Linked DNA regions of Arabidopsis thaliana. Changing the gene in region 3 together with the main gene of any one other region gives a genetic interaction. Each region holds a gene or a part of one and is shown on either strand. Other genes may lie near its edges. The genes, in order: THO1, CB5-C, ETR1 and CB5-D.

The links.
Region 1: of ETR1 (region 3) and THO1, changing one suppresses a phenotype caused by changing the other (phenotypic suppression), as found in Arabidopsis thaliana (one study listed by BioGRID).
Region 2: of ETR1 (region 3) and CB5-C, changing one suppresses a phenotype caused by changing the other (phenotypic suppression), as found in Arabidopsis thaliana (one study listed by BioGRID).
Region 4: of ETR1 (region 3) and CB5-D, changing one suppresses a phenotype caused by changing the other (phenotypic suppression), as found in Arabidopsis thaliana (one study listed by BioGRID).

Annotation. Positions count from the first base shown.
Region 1 is NC_003076.8:3,064,946-3,071,543, reverse strand, and holds THO1 (nuclear matrix protein-like protein), read right to left. Parts: upstream 4,967-6,598; 5' UTR 4,730-4,966; coding exon 4,727-4,729; intron 4,628-4,726; coding exon 4,544-4,627; intron 4,468-4,543; coding exon 4,393-4,467; intron 4,297-4,392; coding exon 4,194-4,296; intron 4,034-4,193; coding exon 3,888-4,033; intron 3,809-3,887; coding exon 3,737-3,808; intron 3,611-3,736; coding exon 3,538-3,610; intron 3,448-3,537; coding exon 3,382-3,447; intron 3,286-3,381; coding exon 3,239-3,285; intron 3,050-3,238; coding exon 2,978-3,049; intron 2,851-2,977; coding exon 2,725-2,850; intron 2,648-2,724; coding exon 2,582-2,647; intron 2,503-2,581; coding exon 2,461-2,502; intron 2,329-2,460; coding exon 2,212-2,328; intron 2,120-2,211; coding exon 2,037-2,119; intron 1,828-2,036; coding exon 1,761-1,827; intron 1,634-1,760; coding exon 1,562-1,633; intron 1,463-1,561; coding exon 1,412-1,462; intron 1,323-1,411; coding exon 1,263-1,322; intron 1,186-1,262; and 3 more. Other genes in the region: AT5G09850 (Transcription elongation factor (TFIIS) family protein), read left to right, coding at 6,323-6,598. UniProt on the Arabidopsis thaliana protein: Acts as a component of the THO subcomplex of the TREX complex which is thought to couple mRNA transcription, processing and nuclear export. Contributes to the integrity of the endogenous trans-acting small interfering RNA (ta-siRNA) pathway.
Region 2 is NC_003071.7:19,149,470-19,153,268, reverse strand, and holds CB5-C (cytochrome B5), read right to left. Parts: upstream 1,789-3,799; 5' UTR 1,463-1,788; coding exon 1,385-1,462; intron 1,281-1,384; coding exon 1,214-1,280; intron 1,129-1,213; coding exon 875-1,128; 3' UTR 530-874; downstream 1-529. Other genes in the region: AT2G46640 (NAD-dependent protein deacetylase HST1-like protein), read right to left, coding at 2,588-2,749, 2,993-3,322, 3,760-3,799. UniProt on the Arabidopsis thaliana protein: Membrane bound hemoprotein which function as an electron carrier for several membrane bound oxygenases, including fatty acid desaturases.
Region 3 is NC_003070.9:24,732,341-24,738,284, reverse strand, and holds ETR1 (Signal transduction histidine kinase, hybrid-type, ethylene sensor), read right to left. Parts: upstream 4,124-5,944; 5' UTR 4,002-4,123; intron 3,633-4,001; 5' UTR 3,588-3,632; coding exon 2,682-3,587; intron 2,607-2,681; coding exon 2,238-2,606; intron 2,161-2,237; coding exon 1,906-2,160; intron 1,824-1,905; coding exon 1,696-1,823; intron 1,606-1,695; coding exon 1,408-1,605; intron 1,280-1,407; coding exon 919-1,279; 3' UTR 567-918; downstream 1-566. Other genes in the region: AT1G66345 (Pentatricopeptide repeat (PPR) superfamily protein), read right to left, coding at 1-566. UniProt on the Arabidopsis thaliana protein: Ethylene receptor related to bacterial two-component regulators. Acts as a redundant negative regulator of ethylene signaling.
Region 4 is NC_003076.8:19,788,561-19,791,932, forward strand, and holds CB5-D (cytochrome B5), read right to left. Parts: upstream 1,813-3,372; 5' UTR 1,621-1,812; coding exon 1,534-1,620; exon of another isoform or gene 1,099-1,533; coding exon 1,032-1,098; intron 958-1,031; coding exon 689-957; 3' UTR 507-688; downstream 1-506. Other genes in the region: AT5G48800 (Phototropic-responsive NPH3 family protein), read left to right, coding at 1-443. UniProt on the Arabidopsis thaliana protein: Membrane bound hemoprotein which function as an electron carrier for several membrane bound oxygenases, including fatty acid desaturases.

The DNA.
Region 1 (6,598 bases), on a different chromosome or scaffold from region 3:
TTTGTCGTTGACAACACAAATCACTCGGTTGTCTCTTGGTCGATTCTTTATCGCATCGCTGTGCCAACATTGTTTAGTCTTTTTTTTGTTTCAATATGAGTCGACACTTTTTTTGTCATAACAGTGCGACGACTATAAGACAACTGTGATCTTATGTGACAGTGCATCAACAATTCAATAGTGAATTTGGGTAAATTTATAAGGTGATTTGATATGCATTGACAAGTGATAACGACTAAACAAAGTATATACATTTTCAATGATTGGAGGTAGTAATAATATAACCAAATAAGCCTACAATGAACTGGTATAGTTTCACGTATTATTGGATTTGGCATATGATGAAACCTTATTATTATATGGAGATCGGTGGTGTTTATGGACTTTAAAAATCGTGACACGACTTAAAAACCACTCATTTATATTCTAAATAAATATTGATGGCAAAACATAAAGTTTATGTTGATAGCTATAATAGTAACACTTTTAGCTTTTGGTTCCTCAAGTATTTGATTTTTTTGTTTGTTTGAGTGTATTTTTAGTGGATTGCAATTGAATCCAATGTTTATTAGCTGCGAATATGTGTCTAGTGTTACACTTAGACGATAAATTACGCAAAAGAACTTAATTGTATGATGATTTTGTTGAGTATATAGAAATGGAAAGACAGGTAATAAGCTAGCAGATTTGCACTCATACAAACATATTTAGAAAATACCTTTTAACATAATTTGTTAAACATCAATACTTTTGAACTTCATATCCAAAGGATTCCCCATTGAAGAAAGGGTCGACAAACTGAAAGCGTATTCATGAGACGGGCATAGGAGGATGATCAAGATCAGTGTCCATCAGACCAGCTTCTTCTGTCTCTCCGTCTTCGATTTGACCGGCCTCTTGACCGTTTTCTGTATCAGAACCACCGAGTCTTTGCTGTTCCTCAGGCGTAGGAGTGTCTGCAATAGCATCACTCTCCATCGTCTCTGCATCACCCCTTCCTCCTTCAGCTTCAGCTTCACTATTAGAAACACCAATCTGGTTTCCCTCTGTTTCATGAGATCCACCTTTGGTTTCTTCTTTCTTCGCTCGTTTGGCTTTTTCGTTTGGTTTAGCTTGGTATTTGGACCGGACCTCAGGCGGCAATAGTTCAACTGGGACAACTCCTTCGATTCCCATTTCAGTAAACTGTGAAAAAGAAAGAAAAAGGTTTTAAAAAGCAATCATATGAAGCATTGGGAAATCGAAATCGAAGAAAATTTTACCCTAGAAAATCCTTCAAGGTCTTGCCGAGCTGTAAACCGAAGACCTTTCCAGCAGTAAACCTATCAAAACAGTAACAATTATCTGCCTTAGACTGATTCAATTAAGCATCATAAAAAAAAAAGTTGTAAATCAGAGGAAAGTTATATACTCTGTTGTTTTTATGATGGTACTCATCTTCTATGCCAGCTGATGGATCCATCTGAGATTTTAACAAAACATCAGGTGTGCTAATAAGACATCAACCATTTTTTTTAAGATGTCCTTTGGGAAAAATAAAGAAAACAGTATGTTAGCTCACATCTTCTGCTAATGGTTTCCAGTAGTCTGCAATATCAGGGGTTCGCACGCGTTGAGAATCAGTCAAAGCATTCTGTTATCCCATCAGATATACAATTATTGTAGAGTCGTAATATGAAGATTGAGCCGAGAGGAGAGCTGGAGAAGCATGTGGCATAATATGAACAACGAACAAGGATGCAAAGAAAAATAATGCATACCGGATTTTGATCTGCCCATCTCCAAAGTTGGGAGAGTTCTTTATTTCCCAATCTCCATCTTTGTCTCCTGTAAAAGCAAAAGATAACCCATATTGAGCCTAATACTCGTAATGCAGATTTATTAGTTGTTTCTCACTTTAATGGACTAGCGACCAGAGATCACTAGGGAAAAAACATCTTCTCAATTTCTTCCACGTAATGTATTCTAAATTCGAATGGCGGACACCATCTATGAGTACAAAGCAGTTAGATTACAAGGTCAGCTTTTCCCCATACCGTTTCTTTTGCCCTGCATTAGGTGATTTCTTATCTATCGGTTGCTTTTCAAATGGTGGACATCCATCACGTTTCCACCAGACCTGTTATTTGTGTATTGTAGAAGATCATTAACGGCCCTCAACTACAAGCCAGAAAATCATGCAGCAGGTAAGAGAGAAAGCAGCACACATACCCAATTCTTTTCGCGCTCCAGTATATGCTCAACTGCACGGAGGAATTCTTTCCCTTTAGGCGGAGTGATCTCAAGCAATTTCTTTACACGATCCTCACATGACTTAAGTTCTTCCTTCTAGACCGAAAAGATAAACAATACCTTTGAGTAATTATGCATAAAACCCTGAATACTGAGATATAACTAGGTTTGTGAACCTTTGAAAGAAAGCAAGAGGAATTTTCTCATTAAACAAGAAAAAACACTGACCATGGTTTCAGATGGCAGATCTTTGTCGTTCTTCCCTGGTGCCTAAACGGAAACAGGATTCAGTTATACCAGAATACCAGAGAGAGTAATTTCCGTGCAATAATTCTTGAGAGACATTTACCCTTAGATAATCAAACATAATGAGGCACTGGAGAAGAATATGTCGTCGGAAACTCGAATCCTTTAACTGTGGCGAAAGGTAGAAAAAAAAGTGAGTGAACTGCTAAGTTCAGAAGTGCGCATGTCCAACCACAGCATACTTACCTCTAAACCCATCAATTTACTACTTGTTAGGTACTTTATATTAAAAGTTGCTGCCTCTTCCTCCAAACTATTAGCCTCTCCCTCTTCTTCGCTTAGTGGTTGAGCATCAAAGGTGTTTAAAACAACCTACATAAGCAGTTCAAGAAACAAGGTCTAAGATGATTTCTCACTACCGCCAGCATGAATTTTCTATGCATATACATATATACAAGACCAGGTAATGCAATTTAGTCAAAAACCAAAGATCACATACCGCCAAACTGGATGAAAATTTCTGCCACTTGGTAGATGCGGAAGTAAGAGAAGCGGGATTACAGAAATACTCCTGGAAACGAAACAATTTTCTCAGTAAGAAAAGAACTATCTCAATAAACTAACTAACAAAAGGAAATTTGAGATGCTATCTCCAGTAATGTTGATTTTGCATGATATGCAAACAGAGGTTCTATGAGACAACCCTTATGATAAAGGCATAACATTCGTTCCCTACAAAGTTCCTTTAACTAATACGCACCTGTAAACTCCAAAATGTCTTGTAGAAGTTGAAATCTACAGAAATGCCTGAGAAGCAATGACATAGACAGAATAAGTAACACGTTTTAGAATTGTCATATGGAGATAAGGACCAAAAGCATAAGAAAAAAAAAAATCACTTGCCTTTTGGAGGATCTTTTTCATATTTGGTTTCATTAGATGTATTAAAAACACCTTTTATATTGACGGCTGAAAGAATAAGTCACGCAAGTAAACGTTACACACCTTTTAAACATTCACATACCAAATAATCGTATATGCACGAGAAACCCTTCTTACCTGAGCGCTCAGATAACGGAAAAAAGTGAGCCAAAAACATAAGAATCCTTCCACAGAATACAACATCATTGGCCTGTATGCCAAATAGTGAAAGCAAAAAAAAGAATTAAAAAAGAGTGGATGTGTTATATATGAAAAAGTAGATTATGACTTATGGATATTTGACAAAGGGAACTAGAAAAGGGTGCAGATAGCGAACCTTTGAGAGTCGGCGGAGAAGTTGGTTGCAAGTCCTCAACATGACAAGTTTTCCGCGTGCAAAAAGCTCTTGCTGCAAATAATTGCAACATCCAAGTCAAAATACAAGATACAACTAACCGAGAAAAAATTTGATTTCGTTTAAGAAATACCTTGCCCAATATATCTTGTTTGCTTTCAATATAACCGAAAACATCTTTACAGTTTTTCATAGTAGACATTTCGGTCAAATCCTCCAGCAGCTGGAATATCATGCCACCTTCTACATGCTCTTTCTCACAAAGATAAAGCACAACATCTAACAAAGCAATCAAAACATGAAGATGGTGAGAGGTTAGACAAAAGTAGTGAGGACAAGATGATAAGCAATAGACAACAAGAGAATAAGAAGTTTTACGGGGACAACGCTAGCACTTGTTTGAACGAACTATGCAAATCAGACTAGAGAGATTGCTAACCTAGAAGATGAGGAATCTGTCCATGTATATCATCATCATCATCATCATCGTCAATCAACTGACCATACTGCATAATTTGCTCCCCTGATTGCGCAGCAGCAGCCTGAAACCCCGAAAACAGAAAGAGAAATCCACACATATATAAATGAACAAGTATATACGCATACCACGAAAATATAATAGTGGAGAAAGAAGAGACCACTAGCTCCTGCAGCAATGTCCGGAGCATGTTTTCAAGCATTTGGTTTTCATCTTGAGCCAACTTTGTTTGTTTCTGTCAAATTTTACAATAAAGACAATAAGTAAGACTAAAGGAGTGAAGAAATTGTTAGTTGATTCGAAAGAGTTACCTGAGGTTGTATAAAGTGTTGAACAGTCTTGAGTGCAAAGGTTTCAATTGGAGCTCGCTGCAATATAGCATCTCTAAATGCATCCTGCGAAGAACCACAAATTGCAGAAAACAAGTTTTTATAAGCTATATAGATTTAACAAGAAGCAAAAGAAAACAAGTCTCATAATCCCAAAAGAGTTACCATTATTTCTCAATGAACCAGCTTCCACTGCAATGAAGAGGAATTTACCGACGACACCAAAACCGGATATGCCGGTCAAAATTCACGGACTATGAGTCGCCGGATTTTAAAAGTTGATTAAGAAGAATTGAATAAAAATCTGGAAACGGAGGCCAAACTTGAAGAAGAGTGGAGGAAGAACAATTTTAATTTAGGGTGGATCCGGATCCGGAAGATATCCTCCCAACAATCAAATTATCCGCAAATATCCGGGCTTGGATCTGGATCCGAAATATTTTTAATTTATAAACTGAATAACAACATGTTCATTGGGCCTTTCATAGTAAAATGATATCCGTTGGGTGGTGGGCTTCACATTATTTAGTTTTACAGAAGACCTTTGCCTGTATATGTTGGATATGGCGTAGTTTTAATGTGTGGAATCAAATCAATTAGAAATTTAAAACATCTGTATTCAAAAATTGCTCGAAATTGTTCATGGTATGTTATTGCAGAAGAAATCATAATAGCTCACATGAGAAGGATTTGAAGATTTCAAAAATTGCTCGAAATTGTTCGAGATAAATATTAGGTTCCAATAATTGCATAAAAGACATTGTATTCATAATCTACACTCAACAAGTGATAAATAAACATTACTTCCTAACAAAGTAAACTTTGATGGATCGAACACCTCCTTCAACACCTAAAAACTCGGATGTGATCTTCTCTTTGGGGGTTTTGATTGTACCGTCGACGTAAATTCACTAAACGATTAGTGAGTGGCAGTGGCTCATGAGATGAAAGTCATGAAACAAACACTTTGAGACCAAATGAAAATATTGATTTGACATATTGGGTCCACTTGCTATAGGGCCAAAAATTTAGAGGCCCAATAACCAAAAAAGTCGAAACATGTAAAATGTTTCTCGTCACTTGAAGAAAAACTAAAAAAAGTAAACGCCATTATTGAAAGAAAAACACTCACATCTCTCTCTCTCTCTCTCTAGAGCTGTTCATCTCCCCAACCACAACAAACCAACTTGCTTAGCTTTGCTCTGTCCAGGGCAAAGAGCATCATCCCTCAATAAAGCAATTCCCATTTTCTTCTTTTACTTTTGTCCTAAAACTGTTAATTGATTCTGTCTGAATATTATTTTTATTAACGGACCAAACAAAAAAAAACTTGCAGAAGAATGAAAGAAAAAGCAATAACCCTCCAAACCAAATTCTAAAGCCTCAAATTTGGAATATTCCCTTTCTTCTTCATTCCCTTTTTTTTTTTTAATTTGCCATTTACTCATTATTGATCTTATGTGAGACGACCTCCTCTGTTTCTTTCTTCCTCGTAACAGTAAAGGGTCTTCCTTTTTAATCTGAATTTACCAATCTGATTCTTCTGTTTTTTGTTTTTTTTATTTGTCTATCTTTTAAACTATTTGAAATCTAAACTTTGTTTGGTTCTTCACGATTTTTAATCTCCGATGAATCAAATTCATCAAAAGATTCATCTTTTAGATCTGGTTACGTAATTCGATTTGCTCTGTTTTTTGTTTTTCGTTTTGAATTCTTTATTAAGTAACCAAATTTGGGGAAGAAGGAGGAGTGTGGGTGATAATGGATTTGGATGATTTCCGATCGGTTATGGATAACGCAGGTGTTGATGTTTGGACATTTATCGATACGGCGATTCTTGTTGCGTCTCTTGACTATGGTCAAGAACTGAAACGTCGGAGAGATAACATCGTCGAGCGTCTCTACGCTACGTCGATGGCTAACAAGTGTAGAAACTGCGATTTTGGCGGCGGTGGTAACGTTACGGAGGCGGCGATTGGTAGGGTTAATAATGGGAGGGTTCACGAGGAGACGGAGGAGGAAGATGAAGAAGGAGTA
Region 2 (3,799 bases), on a different chromosome or scaffold from region 3:
TGCAACAGGATAAATTAAAAAAAAAAAAAAAAACGCAACAGGATATTAAACTATAAAATTTAGTTTCCAAGATTCTGGTGAACGATCTTTGCAAGTCTACTATCACTCCGGAAACGTTTTTTTTTATTATATATAATAACAATCACTTGTTTAATAAGTTGCATAGAAACACGAATGTTTGGTTTGTTTTACCAAACAATTAACATTACACGGTTTAAAAAAGAAAAAAAAACTTTACTTAAGAAAAATATTCTCATATTTTTAATCGTCTTCTAGTAATATAATATAGAAATACTAACATTACATTTCGAAATTTGATTAATAAATCCCCTCTCGAATTAGTAAATTAAAAACCAACATTCTTCATTTCTTTGTGTCCTTTTTTATGACACATTGAATTCTGTGTCTTTAAAGTGGCAAAAAATAACCGACAGTATAAAGGTTGAAATTATGTGGAACGTTTTTGCTAAAAATAATTCTGTGTCTGTGTCATATTTTTGACACACACTGACACACATTCCTTCTTTGTAAGTATGCCCTCACCCATTTTTATTATTAAGTACGAATTTAATGGAATCTACTGCATTTTTATTTTTATTTTTTTTCGTCAAATGGAATCTACTGCATAAGTTGGTTGTTTTATCAAAATCAAGTAAATAACACAAAGCTCATGCTAGAAGAAATTGGGATTGGCATATATCAACAAAGGGCCTACTGATACGGCCCATTAACATAAAATAAATAAGACATTATAGTCCAATTCTGAGCGATGGGCCAAATGGCCCAAATCTTCACATAAGAAGCCCGTTATTACCAACAAACGAAAACCAAGAACAGTAAGAAACTCTTATCAATCTGTTCATCATAATTTGGTCTACTTGTTGTTGTAGAATCTGAGAGCGAAAGCAACGCCGAGTATCAAGAGAGGAATTAAGTAGATAAGCAGCTTCTTTCCAGATTCTTCTTTAGTTGTTTCCGCCGCCGTAGATTCCTTCTCCCACGGCGGAATATACTGTTGCGTCACCGGAACCGTTGACTGGTCAACGTCACCGATACAGTATTTCTTCATTAGCTCCTTGGCATCTTTGCTATGGTTCACATCTTCGAAATCGATCGACGCGTCTTTCCCTTTAAATTTTCATAAAAACTCACAAAATTACAAACCGATAAATTCAAACTAAACCGGAATAAACCAACTCGTACTCGTACGTACCGGTGACGGCGAGGAGAACATTGTCACCTCCGGGATGTTCGTCCATGAAAGTGCTGATGTCATAGACCTGTGGATAAACATGTGTTTAGAAACAAGTATAAAGCTAAAAAAACAGAGCATTTATAATCTATAAATTTGTTTACGTGATTTAAAGAAAGTAGAAATATGGACCTTTCCATGGATGAGAATCCAACAATCGTTCTTGCACTTATGTTTAGCCACATCGTGAAACGAAATTAGATTCGCCATATGATTACTTTTGGTTGCTCGTGCTGAGAAAGTAACTTGAAACAGAGAACTTTATATAGAGACTTCAAATAAACTAGGGTTGAAGCAAAATAAAGAAAGCAAGATCGTGAGGGGAAGAGTTTCTAGTTTCTACGAACCGATGAAAAGACAGTGCGTAGCTTATGGAGACCACACGCGTTATGTTTATATTGTAAGCTGTTGAATATTATTATTACTAGATTTTGATGAAATTACAGTCTTATTTGGGGTAAATAGTTTAATCTTAGCTCTTTGAAGATGTAAGGGAACAAAGCAATGTATATCTGACCAGTTAATATACATAGTTGTTTTTGTTGAAGTTTAATACTATTCTTTTCGTATAAAATTGTTATTACGAACAAGGTTAAAAAAAGGTACCTACCATAGTAAAACGTGAAGAATATGGAGTTTGTAAGTTAATGGATTGGTAGCTGAGAATGCCTCCAAGTGGTCAGCGACCTCAGGTTGGTGAAGCTCTTTCACGTTTTAGTTTTCTCTTATAAGAAAAAGGAAAAAAGAAAACAAGTCAAAAAAAGAAAGAAAAGTCAAGCCTCAATTTTCTTTTGTTTACTTTAAACTTTTAAAAAGCCTCAAAATCACTTTTCTGATTAGGCCCTTTTTCAAAATCACTTTTCTGATTAGGCCCAATAACGCACAAAAGGGCTTTCTGTTTTGAGTAGGATAATTTAGTCCTTTATCAGTTTATGACTTTAGGTTTGAAATTTCTTCAAAACTGACCAAGCTATAGCAGACATGATGGAATACTATCACAGATTCACGACAATCCACGATTTTAGAACGATGCATTGATATACGTATAAATAAGAAAACATATGACATAGTAATAAAATACAATATGCATAACAGGAACAAATACTAACAACTTAGTAATGTTTGTAAGAAGAAAGCAATACATCTCAACAGTCATAACAATACCAACACATTCTGAAATAAGAACAAAAAAATCACATATATTATAGGGAGTAGAACAATAGATCCAGAGATTGCTCTTGTACGATGTCGTCGTTCTTAGACTTCTAGGCCACGCAATCTGTCCACAAAGCATATATATACGAGCAAATGAAAGAAATAAATCATATCGAACCCCTAAACCAAAATAATTAAGAAATACAAACCTTGAATTTTAAGAAGATAATGTGACTCGAGAGCTTCACAGTTCCGAGTTGGCTTGTATGGAACGTCCTTCTTTAAAGCCTTAGTTGCATCGACATCTGGATGGATCTTCTTCTTCAACATCCTCTTTATCATCTACAGTAATATATACACATATATAATGATGCTATACTTGTTGACATCGAATGAATATTTACTCACATATGAGTACACTTATGAAGCAACAAAAGTGATGTAATTGTAACATGCACGAATAATTATCTAGATCTTGACGTGACATTGTTTCCCTTGAGCTATAGAGGCACATGTAACATGTTCATATATCCATCATCATCAATGTTTCATAGTTACGGAATTGACTAAAACAAATTTAAATACCTGACGCATTTTCTTGATTGGACGTAAGTCGTTTTCTTCCTCTTTGGACTTTGACATGACCAGCTTCTTCTTAACAAACGAGAACCTCTTGCTTAGTTTTGAACCGTTTTGTTTATAGTACTTAACCTCCTCACCGTCAAGATTAGGGTTATTGGGTTTCTTGCAATGCCACGTGTCATAACCTTTGTCGTGGTCCTCCATGAAAAGCTCCGCAAGTGTTGTCCTCTTCTTCTGTGGCTCTATCTCGGCCTCGGCTGCCGCCGTGACAGCTGGCGTTTCAGCGGTTTTGATCGAGCCAAAGTGATCAGTATCGGCCTGTACGTACAGATTCTAATACGAAAGATCTCAAGAAATTCAATATCAAGAGTCAAGAAGATATAATTTTATGTACTTATTTTATGTACTTATTTCTTTGCGTATAATGGCCTTAATTGTCGACAGAAAAAAAAATGACGATCTCGATTGACTCAAATGCAATTTCTGCATTTATATGTCTTTAAAGTCATATTTTGAAAGAAAACCCAAATTTTTGTAGATTAGTGAACGTATAATCCTTCCATTTTAGTTAACTTATTTCTACAATAACAATTAAACTAGTTTAAAGATTTTAAAATTTTGGATTCATTTGAATATACTAATCAAATCAACGTAAACGCACACGAACAATTGAAGCATATGCATGTCATATGTCTATATAATCTTCTCTATTGGTAAATCAACCCGAGGATCATAAAAATGTACTCAATAGAACTGATTAGAATACGTACCCCGACATCTTCATGATGATCATAAAACTTATTTTCAACG
Region 3 (5,944 bases):
CTCTTGAACACATCAAACCCTAATTCCAAATACCTAATCTTAGCGTAACATTGAACTAACAAATCAAACACTAAAGGAGTAGAAGATGAGATCTCATAAGTATCTAACAACGAATCGACTAAATCCGAATCGGGAGGAGAATTTAACAGAGACGATTCAATTAAAGCTCGAGCGTCGATTAGTAATCGAGCTTTGACAAGGATATGAATCGTCAATGCGTAAGATTTGATTCCGTGACGGAGATTTCGAGTGTGGGATGACCAATGGAAGAAGGATAAAGCTTGTTTGGCGGTTTCGGGGTTTTTGAATCGGAGAAGGATTGTTTCGATTAAGGAATCTGATAGATCTATGGAGGAGAATTTGGTGGAGAGAGTTTCCCAGGTATCGTTGGATTGGAGGGATTTGGAGATGTAGTCGATGAGGATTTGTTGTTGTTTGTTTGGATTTGGATTAGTTTTGGAGGAGAAGGAGAAGAAGCCATGGATGAGTTTTGGAGATCGGGTTGATTGAGAAACTAAGTAACGCCATTGTTGTTGTTCTACTAAGCGGCGCAAAGCTGACGCCATAATACTGCATCAATGTCATACATGCACGCAACAAGCATCCATAACTCGATCCAAATTCTTATAAGAATGTAACTACATATATAAGGATACAACATTAGTCAAACATGTAATCTGAAATGGTATGATTATACCACCACCATCTTGTTCCTCTATAACCGAAATCGCCACGGACACATACCGGTTTAGAGTTTCTATTTTGTTATTCCCTTTCTGTTTTAAGATATCATCCAAAACGCTCCGACAATCTCTGATATGTACACAATTAAACCAGAGAACATCAGCTTCCGATGTTTTACGGGAGAAGAAGGCGGGAGCGGAATTACTCCTCTGGGGCATGGGGCATCCATCGCCTTTACATGCCCTCGTACAGTACCCGGGGCTCGAGAAGATCAGACAGAACATCTCTTATGTTGTCTAGTGATACGGGTTTGAGCAACACACCGTCTAGACCAAAGCTCATGCATTTCTCTTTTGTGGATTTGTCAGTGTTACCACTGAGTGCCACAAGTAGTGGCCGTTGGTGGCGTTGTTTTGTGAATTTCTCGTGAATACGGAGAGCGATTTGGTAGTTTTCGACCCCGGGCATGCACACGTCCATGAAGACCACTTTGTGCTCATGGGACACAACTCGGAGACACTCCTCGTTTGAACTCACCGTGGTCACTTCGCACCCAAGGTGTACAAGAAGTCCCTTCGTCACCATTCTACTTACCCTGCAACCAAAATAATCATCGGTTTCTCATAAGATTAAATTTGCGTTTTTTCTAAACGCCAATATCTGCATTTGCAAGAAGTAAGGCGAGAGATTTTGCAAAGAGAAAGGTGAGAAGCTTATACTAACCCGTTCTCATCCATGACAAGAACCTTAAGTCCAGTGAAATTTGAATGTCGGGGAATGGCTGGAACTTTCGGTATGCCCGACTGTTTAGATTCGTTTGAACGTTCTGAGATCCCAAGTTTAACATCAAAGATAGCCGTGCATCCTTTTCCAAGACCATCGCTCTCAATCCAAATGTTACCCTCCATCAGATTCACAAACCTTGTCATATTAAACGCTTATGAGTAAACTTTTAACAACACAGAAGACAAGAAAAAGTTGGAAAAAAACGTCTTTTAATAAGGCTCAAACCTCTTGGAGATGGCGAGGCCAAGCCCACTACCACCCGAGCTTCTCGTCGCTAAAGATTGTGTTTGAGCAAATTTAGTGAAAATCTTTGGAATGTCTTGAGGATTTATTCCTGCTCCAGAGTCTTTTACCTATATTTGAATAATCATCAAAATTAAGACCTAAGAAATACTTTCAGCTATGGTATAAGATCCCAAGATACAAGATAATAACCTTCACTCTCAAGTAGAAATGACTCCCAGTTGGCACGACAAAAAAGTCAGCAGCTCGTGTGTCTGACTTGGTGACAAGAGCGGTTACGGAGATACTACCTTGTTTGGAGAATTTCACAGCATTACCAACTATATTTAATATTATCTGCATTAGCCGTTTCTCATCCCCAACAACAAATTCTGGCAAATCTGGTGCAAGATTTAGTGTGATGGGTAATTTCTTAACAACCGCTATAGGCTTTATCAGATTGAGGACCTGCAACAAGATTCAATATGACAATCAAGTACACAAATAGTATAAACTTATGAAACATAGAGCTGTTCAAAAGTTACCTCTCTAAATAATGTATGAAGATTGAATGTCCCAAGTTCAAGTTGAAGACTTCCATCTTCTAACCTTGAAAGATCTAAGACATCATTCATCAAAGTTGCCAAAAGGTTACTACTTTTAAGTATTGTTTCCACCATCAGTCTTTGTTCAGGGGTTAGTTCCGTTTCTTGGAGTAAGGAAGAGAGTGCAATAATCGCATGCATCGGTGTTCGCATTTCATGGTTCATAACCGCTAGGAAATCATTGCGGGCACGGATTGCTGTTTCTGCTTCTCGTCTAGCTAGATCAAGAGCAACATTCTGCTCCATGAGAAGGTCCCTAGCTCGCATCGACTCTTCTAGGATCGCAGCATGTGAGAGAGCTACAGCCACCTATAATAAGAGAAGAAAAGTTATAGACAAGATCATGAACATAGCAAAGAAGAGAAATTCTCAGCAATGTAAAACCTGATCAGCGACGACTTCAACGAGTTCCAACTCATGGACATGCCATTGCCTTGCACTATCTGAAGGAAGCATCAAAACCATCAAAGCATATCTCTTTGTTGAAAGCTCAGGCCAGTCATTAATCTGAAAATTAGAAAGGTGGAGAAGCGGAACCCTCACAGCGACCACCTCCCCTAGCATATATTTCCCAGAAACAGGTCTCAACCTAGCCACAGGAGAATTAGGAGATATTTTTACAGCCCTACTAGTACCAAACACTTGGTTAATCACCGGTAATTGAATAGGAACCGTATACTCCACGGGATGTTGATGACGAAGTGTATAAGAAAGCTGTAGCTCTAACCCAGTTCTAGTAGGCATCCACAATGCACACTCCTCCAAAGCTAATGTCCTACCAAGCTCAACAAGTGTAGTCTTTAAAATAGTATGTCTATCTAAAGTGCTTCTAATCTCATGAGTCAACATTCTCACATGCCTTCCGGTTTCTTCCTGAGTTCGAATCAATCCCATTTCTCTATCGAGCTCAGCAGCTTTATTTTTCAAGAAAAGCTCCCGAGTCTTAACACTCAAAAGATCAGGAATAATATGAACAAGCATCAACGCAGTAGCACACGAGACAACAGCGGTTAACACCTTCGCGGTAGTCATCACAAGCGCCACGGTTCTCGAATGCGTAGTGAAAGTCCATAAGTTAATAAGATGAGTTGCTCCACAAAGAACGATAAAAGCACCAAACTGAACAAGTACCCATCTATACGGAAACACGGCTGATTTCTTCACAAAGTAAATCAACTCAAGAGGAATCGAAAAATACGCAATCGCAATGAAGAAATCGGAGATGTATTGGTATTTCATTAACAATTCATCCGCTGGCCATTGCGGTTCAATACAATTGCAGACTTCCATTATGAATTTTTTACACTATAGTTCCTCTCTCACACATACACACACCTGTGTAACAAACACATAGCATTATCAACTTCGATTTACGACGAGAACGTAGCGTAGACAGATCATGAGCATCAAAATTGCTATAAATTCTGAAGAATCGAATTCGATCACAACGATTACGAAAAAATAGGTTGCATATTTCAGTCTCGAGAACAGTAAAATTCGAATCCGAATCATGAAATTAACGATTAAATCTTAATTTAAAGTTCCTAATAACGATGCATTACACTAGATAAAGACCAATTAGGTTAATCAATCTCTATGATTTGAGATCGACGACAACAACAGAAGAAAACTGTGGAAGTGAAGAATATATATAAAGAAGTCACGAAACAATCTGAGGAGAGAATCGAGGAAGAAGAAGCTTACTTGGGAAGAATTGATCGGAGAAGAGGAGGAATTGGGGATTTGGGACGCGGCGGAGAGCGACGGAGAAGGAGAAAAGGGGAGCGTTGAAGCTTTTTTTCAAGTCAAAATTGGTTGGGTTTAACACTTCTTCTTCGTTCTTACTTTTTTTTTCGACGTCATTTCTCTAATTTTTTTGTTATTATTATCAGATGTTTTTTTTTAATAAAAAAGGGTAATATAGCTGGTGGGTGCATGAATTTGTTCATTCAAATATCTTATGATAGTGTAATGACGTAATGTAGATAAAGGAATAGAGTAAAAATGGTAAGAAAAATACAGATAATATAGGATAAATATCCCCATATTTATCAACAAATACTATCTTTATGGTTTCACCAAAAAATGCAAAATATTGTTTTCACTAACTTTCACCTTACATTGATTCGTATGATTTCAAAAAAGGAGAATGATAATGTCATTTGGAGATTAAGCAATATATATGTTTAGCCAATATAAAATTATGAGTTTTAAGTGTAATCTTATGTAAATAATCGTTTGTATAAAACATTATATAGTTGTAAGAGAAGTAAAACAAGTTGAATCAAACAAATATGTTCATGTGAATAAAAGCTATATTATGTCAACTTGGAGATATATCAAACTACTAATGTTATATCTGGTTAACTGTAATATATCTCCAAATTGACATAATATAGGTTTTCAGTACCTCAAAACTAAATCAGAGTTAACCAGAAATTTGATCCTAAACCAAAAGTATATTAAGCAATTATATAAAATTATTACATTAGTTTTTTTTGAAATCAATCCTCCGAAAAATGTACATAAGACCTTAACCAGTCAAATCAAAATCCAAACAAAACTAAATTTCATCGATTCAATTCTCAACCAACGTTTATGTCTCATATATACTAGTGTTGATTACTTCAAACTTACAATATGGAATCTTAATATATACCTTCAAGATGATGGCTCTAATCAGCCTATCTCGAACTGAATCTCATTTTAAGATCAGTATTAAATCTCAACACACGAAATTTTGATACATACAGTAAAACCTCTATAAATTAATACTCGATAAATTAATAATCTCTATAAATTAATAAATTTTTTCGGTCCCGAGTTGGAACCACTGTAAAAAGTGATACAAATCGATAAATTAATAAGATAATAGTTTTTTTGAAAATCTTATATAAACATAGGGTCCCATTAATATCATAAATTACAGAGAAATATAATTTTAATATTGTTTTTTTTTTACTTAAATTTGTATAAGTTTTTTTTTATTTCATTTTAATATTTTTACTCTATCAAAAACTTTTCTTGTTGTTTTCTAGACATGATAATTATTTCTATTTGTAATTGGTTCTAAAAATATATTTTAGATAATGGAATGAATCTTAAATTTTTATAGAAATTAAAAAAAAAATTACCACTTTTGGAAAATCTCTCTGTAAATTAATAAATATTAATTTATCGATAAATTAATACCTTTATAAATTAATAGAATTTTGTGGTCTCAACATTATTAATTTATAGAGATTTTACTGTATTAAATTTTATGGATTTCCAAATTAAATCTAATTAATAATAAATAGATTGGTGTATATTCTTTATATATAAGTGTTGGTCCTTCAATTTAAAATAAGAATAAAAATCGCAATACCAAAATATATGGATTGAACCAAATTGATATTAAGGGAAAGAGTGGGGCCAATACTATAATGACCAGAGAATCGAAATAGAAAGAAAACTTAGGACATGGTTGGCTCACACTGGTCCACAAGTAACTCTTGTGGTTACAATTTTCACTTCTAATCCCATAATTCTCCTTCTTTGTCCTCTTCTTTCTCCCTAAAATCCTAAATCCTTCTTTGGATTACTCTTCTTCTTCATTTCTTCCCACAAGGTTAGTCTCTCTTCTCTATCGAATCTGTGTTCTTCAC
Region 4 (3,372 bases), on a different chromosome or scaffold from region 3:
GGCTTCCTCTGCAATCCATAGTTCAAGTTCTCTACTTTGAGCAACTCAAGCTTCGAAGCTCCTTGTGCTCTTCTTACTCAGACGAAGAGCCAAAGCCAAAGCAGCAACAACAGCAGTCATGGAGAATCAATAGCGGAGCTCTCAGTGCAACAATGTCCCCCAAAGACAACTATGCGTCTCTGAGGAGAGAAAACCGAGAACTGAAGCTCGAGTTAGCTAGGTTGAGAATGAGACTCAACGACCTAGAGAAAGAACATATATGTATGAAGAGAGATATGCAGAGGTCTCATTCGCGCAAATTCATGAGCAGTTTCTCAAAGAAAATGGGGAAACTTAGCTTCTTTGGGCATAGCTCTTCAAGAGGATCAAGCTCTCCATCAAAGCAGTCTTTCAGAACAGATTCAAAGGTACTGATGGAGAGAACTTGCGCAAGCACAGATTAGCTCAGTGTTTATCATTTTCTCTTACCTGTTGCTGCTTTTTAAGTGAGACTTGAGACTGGTGTGTGAGTGATATTGTAAATGGATTTGATTGATATAAGACAACAAAGGTAGATGGCTTAAAAATCAAAGGTCTATCAGTTGATTGGAATAGAGAATATAATGATGTCTTACAAGACAAACAGAGGTAGAGACAGAGTTTAACCACGTCGTACACAAGCAATTCACTTAGGCCACAATTCAATCTTTCAAGAAGAAGGAGCCTTGGTCTTAGTGTAGTACCGAATGCCGAAAGCCAAGCCTAAGATTAGAAGTGGAACAAGGAACTGAAGGAGCTTAATAACAAAATCCGAGCTCTTATCCTGAGTAGCCACGGCTTTCGTCGACGTAGGAGGCACAAACTTAGCTTTAACCGGCACAGTAGCTGTGTCAATATCACCCACATAGTACTCATCTAGCATGGCTTTCGCAGTCGAACTATGTCCCACATCCTCGAAATCATCGGTCGCATCTTTCCCTGAATACCAACAACACATTCTTGTTAACATAAACATGAACTAACAAACAGAGAAAGTGATCTCTATATGTTACCTGTAGAAGTCAAGATAACCTCATCACCACCAGGATGATCATCCAAGAACTTTGTCACATCATAAACCTATATATAACCATCAAAATGAAACACACAAAAAATGTAAACTTTGTCATATAAGTCCCTAATTCCACACAATCAGAGACCTAGATTAAGTGGGTTATCAAAAGTTCATACATCAGAACATACATGAACTACATGAACCTTACTAGCTTTAACTACAGATACAAGATCACACAGAGACATCTTAAGCAGCACCAACTATCACATTCAATTATAAAGACGTAAGTTTTTAGCAATTTCTCTGTGATTTAGACTTAGAAAAGTAACATTAATCTAGCAAATCAGATCAGATCTATCCCCAAACTTGTTACTACATAACTCTAGATTTATAAATCCAAGTCAACACAACTCAAGAATTTCGGATCTCACGAAGATAAGATGCAAAATCTAAGGGAAAACGGAAAATCGAATGAGAAACTGGGATCGGAGATGTAGGACCTTGCCGTCGATGACGATCCAACAATCCTTGGCGCTACTGTGCTGAGAAACCTCGGACAAGGTGAAAACTTTTCCGTCTCCGCCCATCTCCGATGATCTGCTGGTGACTGGTGAGAGTTGAGAAGAGGAAGAGTATTACTATTATTTGGGAATCTGTGAGTTTGGGATCTTACACCAACCGCTTTTTTGGTCTACTTAAGTTGTGTATGTCTGATCTCATCTATTGATGGGGTCGGAAATTAATCAGTGGCCAATAATCAGCAGTTAATCAAAGATTCCGTTTTCTTATATTATTTAAATGAATTTATTTTATATATTTAATTAATGTAGAAACTAAAACAATTTATAATGTTACAAAGAAAAAATGTTATAAAAAATCTTAGTATTGTATGTTTTTCCTTAAAATAAAATAAATGTTTTTAGTAATTCATGTTAGCTGATAATGTTTCTACTAAAATCATGTTAGCTTATTGATTTCCATGATGCTTATAATGTTTATACTAAAATCATGTTAGCTTTATGTACATCAATTTAGATAAAATCCAAACGTTTGGTGGTTTCGCCCTCTTAGACGTATGATCAATCGTGTAGACGGCTAGATGTTAGGGTAGACCATTCTAATTGGGCCCAACCATTCACTCGGTCCACAAGATCCGGATCTTTTCTTCAGTTGTCGATAGTATTTAGTTTTTTCATGAACTATAGCAATATGGACACGATGATTCATGGGAGGAAAGATATGGGGTTGTCTTCTTTAAAACTTGATGGCGCTTAAGATAAAAACAGTCAAAGAGACTTGTCGGAAGGCCAGTGTAACGAAAGCAGTGTGGTTTTAGTTATAGGCTAAATTGAATATGAATAATTGATCATAGGCCCAGTTTGTTGGTTTATGATTTTAGAAAGAATTGATAAGAGAAGGAGAATGTTTTGAGGTTGGAACTCTCCGACAGATAAATATGATGGGAAGAATTATTCACGGTCGTATATTTTGACAAGGGACCAACGGAAAGGAGAGCAGTTGCATGCATCACTCGTCTTTACACTATTTAGAAAGAAAATGAATCTTGTTTAGTGATTCATTTTAAAAAGTTTTTCTATGTGAACCTCATTCGCTAGAAGTAGTTTAAATGTATTTGCCTTAATCCGATCTTAGAACTGGATATTTGATATTTCTGTAATCAGTTCGAATGTATCTAACTATAGGGCTAAAACACCGACTGTATAGTTCTTTCGACATATATAGAGTGTGTACTTTGCTTAATGGAACCATAGGCATGTTAAACGAGAGCATTTAATGTTGAAATTCACTTCTTTTTTCAATGCATGTTTTGACTCACATTGCAAGGCCTATGGTTGGTGTTCAACGAGAGAAAGAAACTATACATGACAAGTTAAAGACATTTATTTTGAAGGACTAACCCAAAAGGAGAACGAAAGAGAGCTAGAGAAGAAGAAACAAAAAGACAAAAAGGCTTTCGTAATCAGTGCTCTTCCTTTTTGGCTTTTTACTACCAAATAGTTTAAAAGAGTCAAACAAAACATCGAACAAGCTGAATTCAGATACCCCATTGGTCACACAGTTGATGTAAGCGAATCTATATGTCCCAAAAAACATGATTTTTATAGTCAGTGAGCCCGTGATCAAACAAGCACCCGTGTACATACGTACACCATGTCCATATGTATAAATGTATAATATAATGAATGTATCTGAACGTTTCATGCATTCACTTTTTCACTTTTAGAGATTAAAGAAAAACATAGAACAATGATTGGGTTCGAGATAAGATTTCACAGTTTCATCACACTGGTTTTGCCAATTTCCAAGAAATGTAAAAA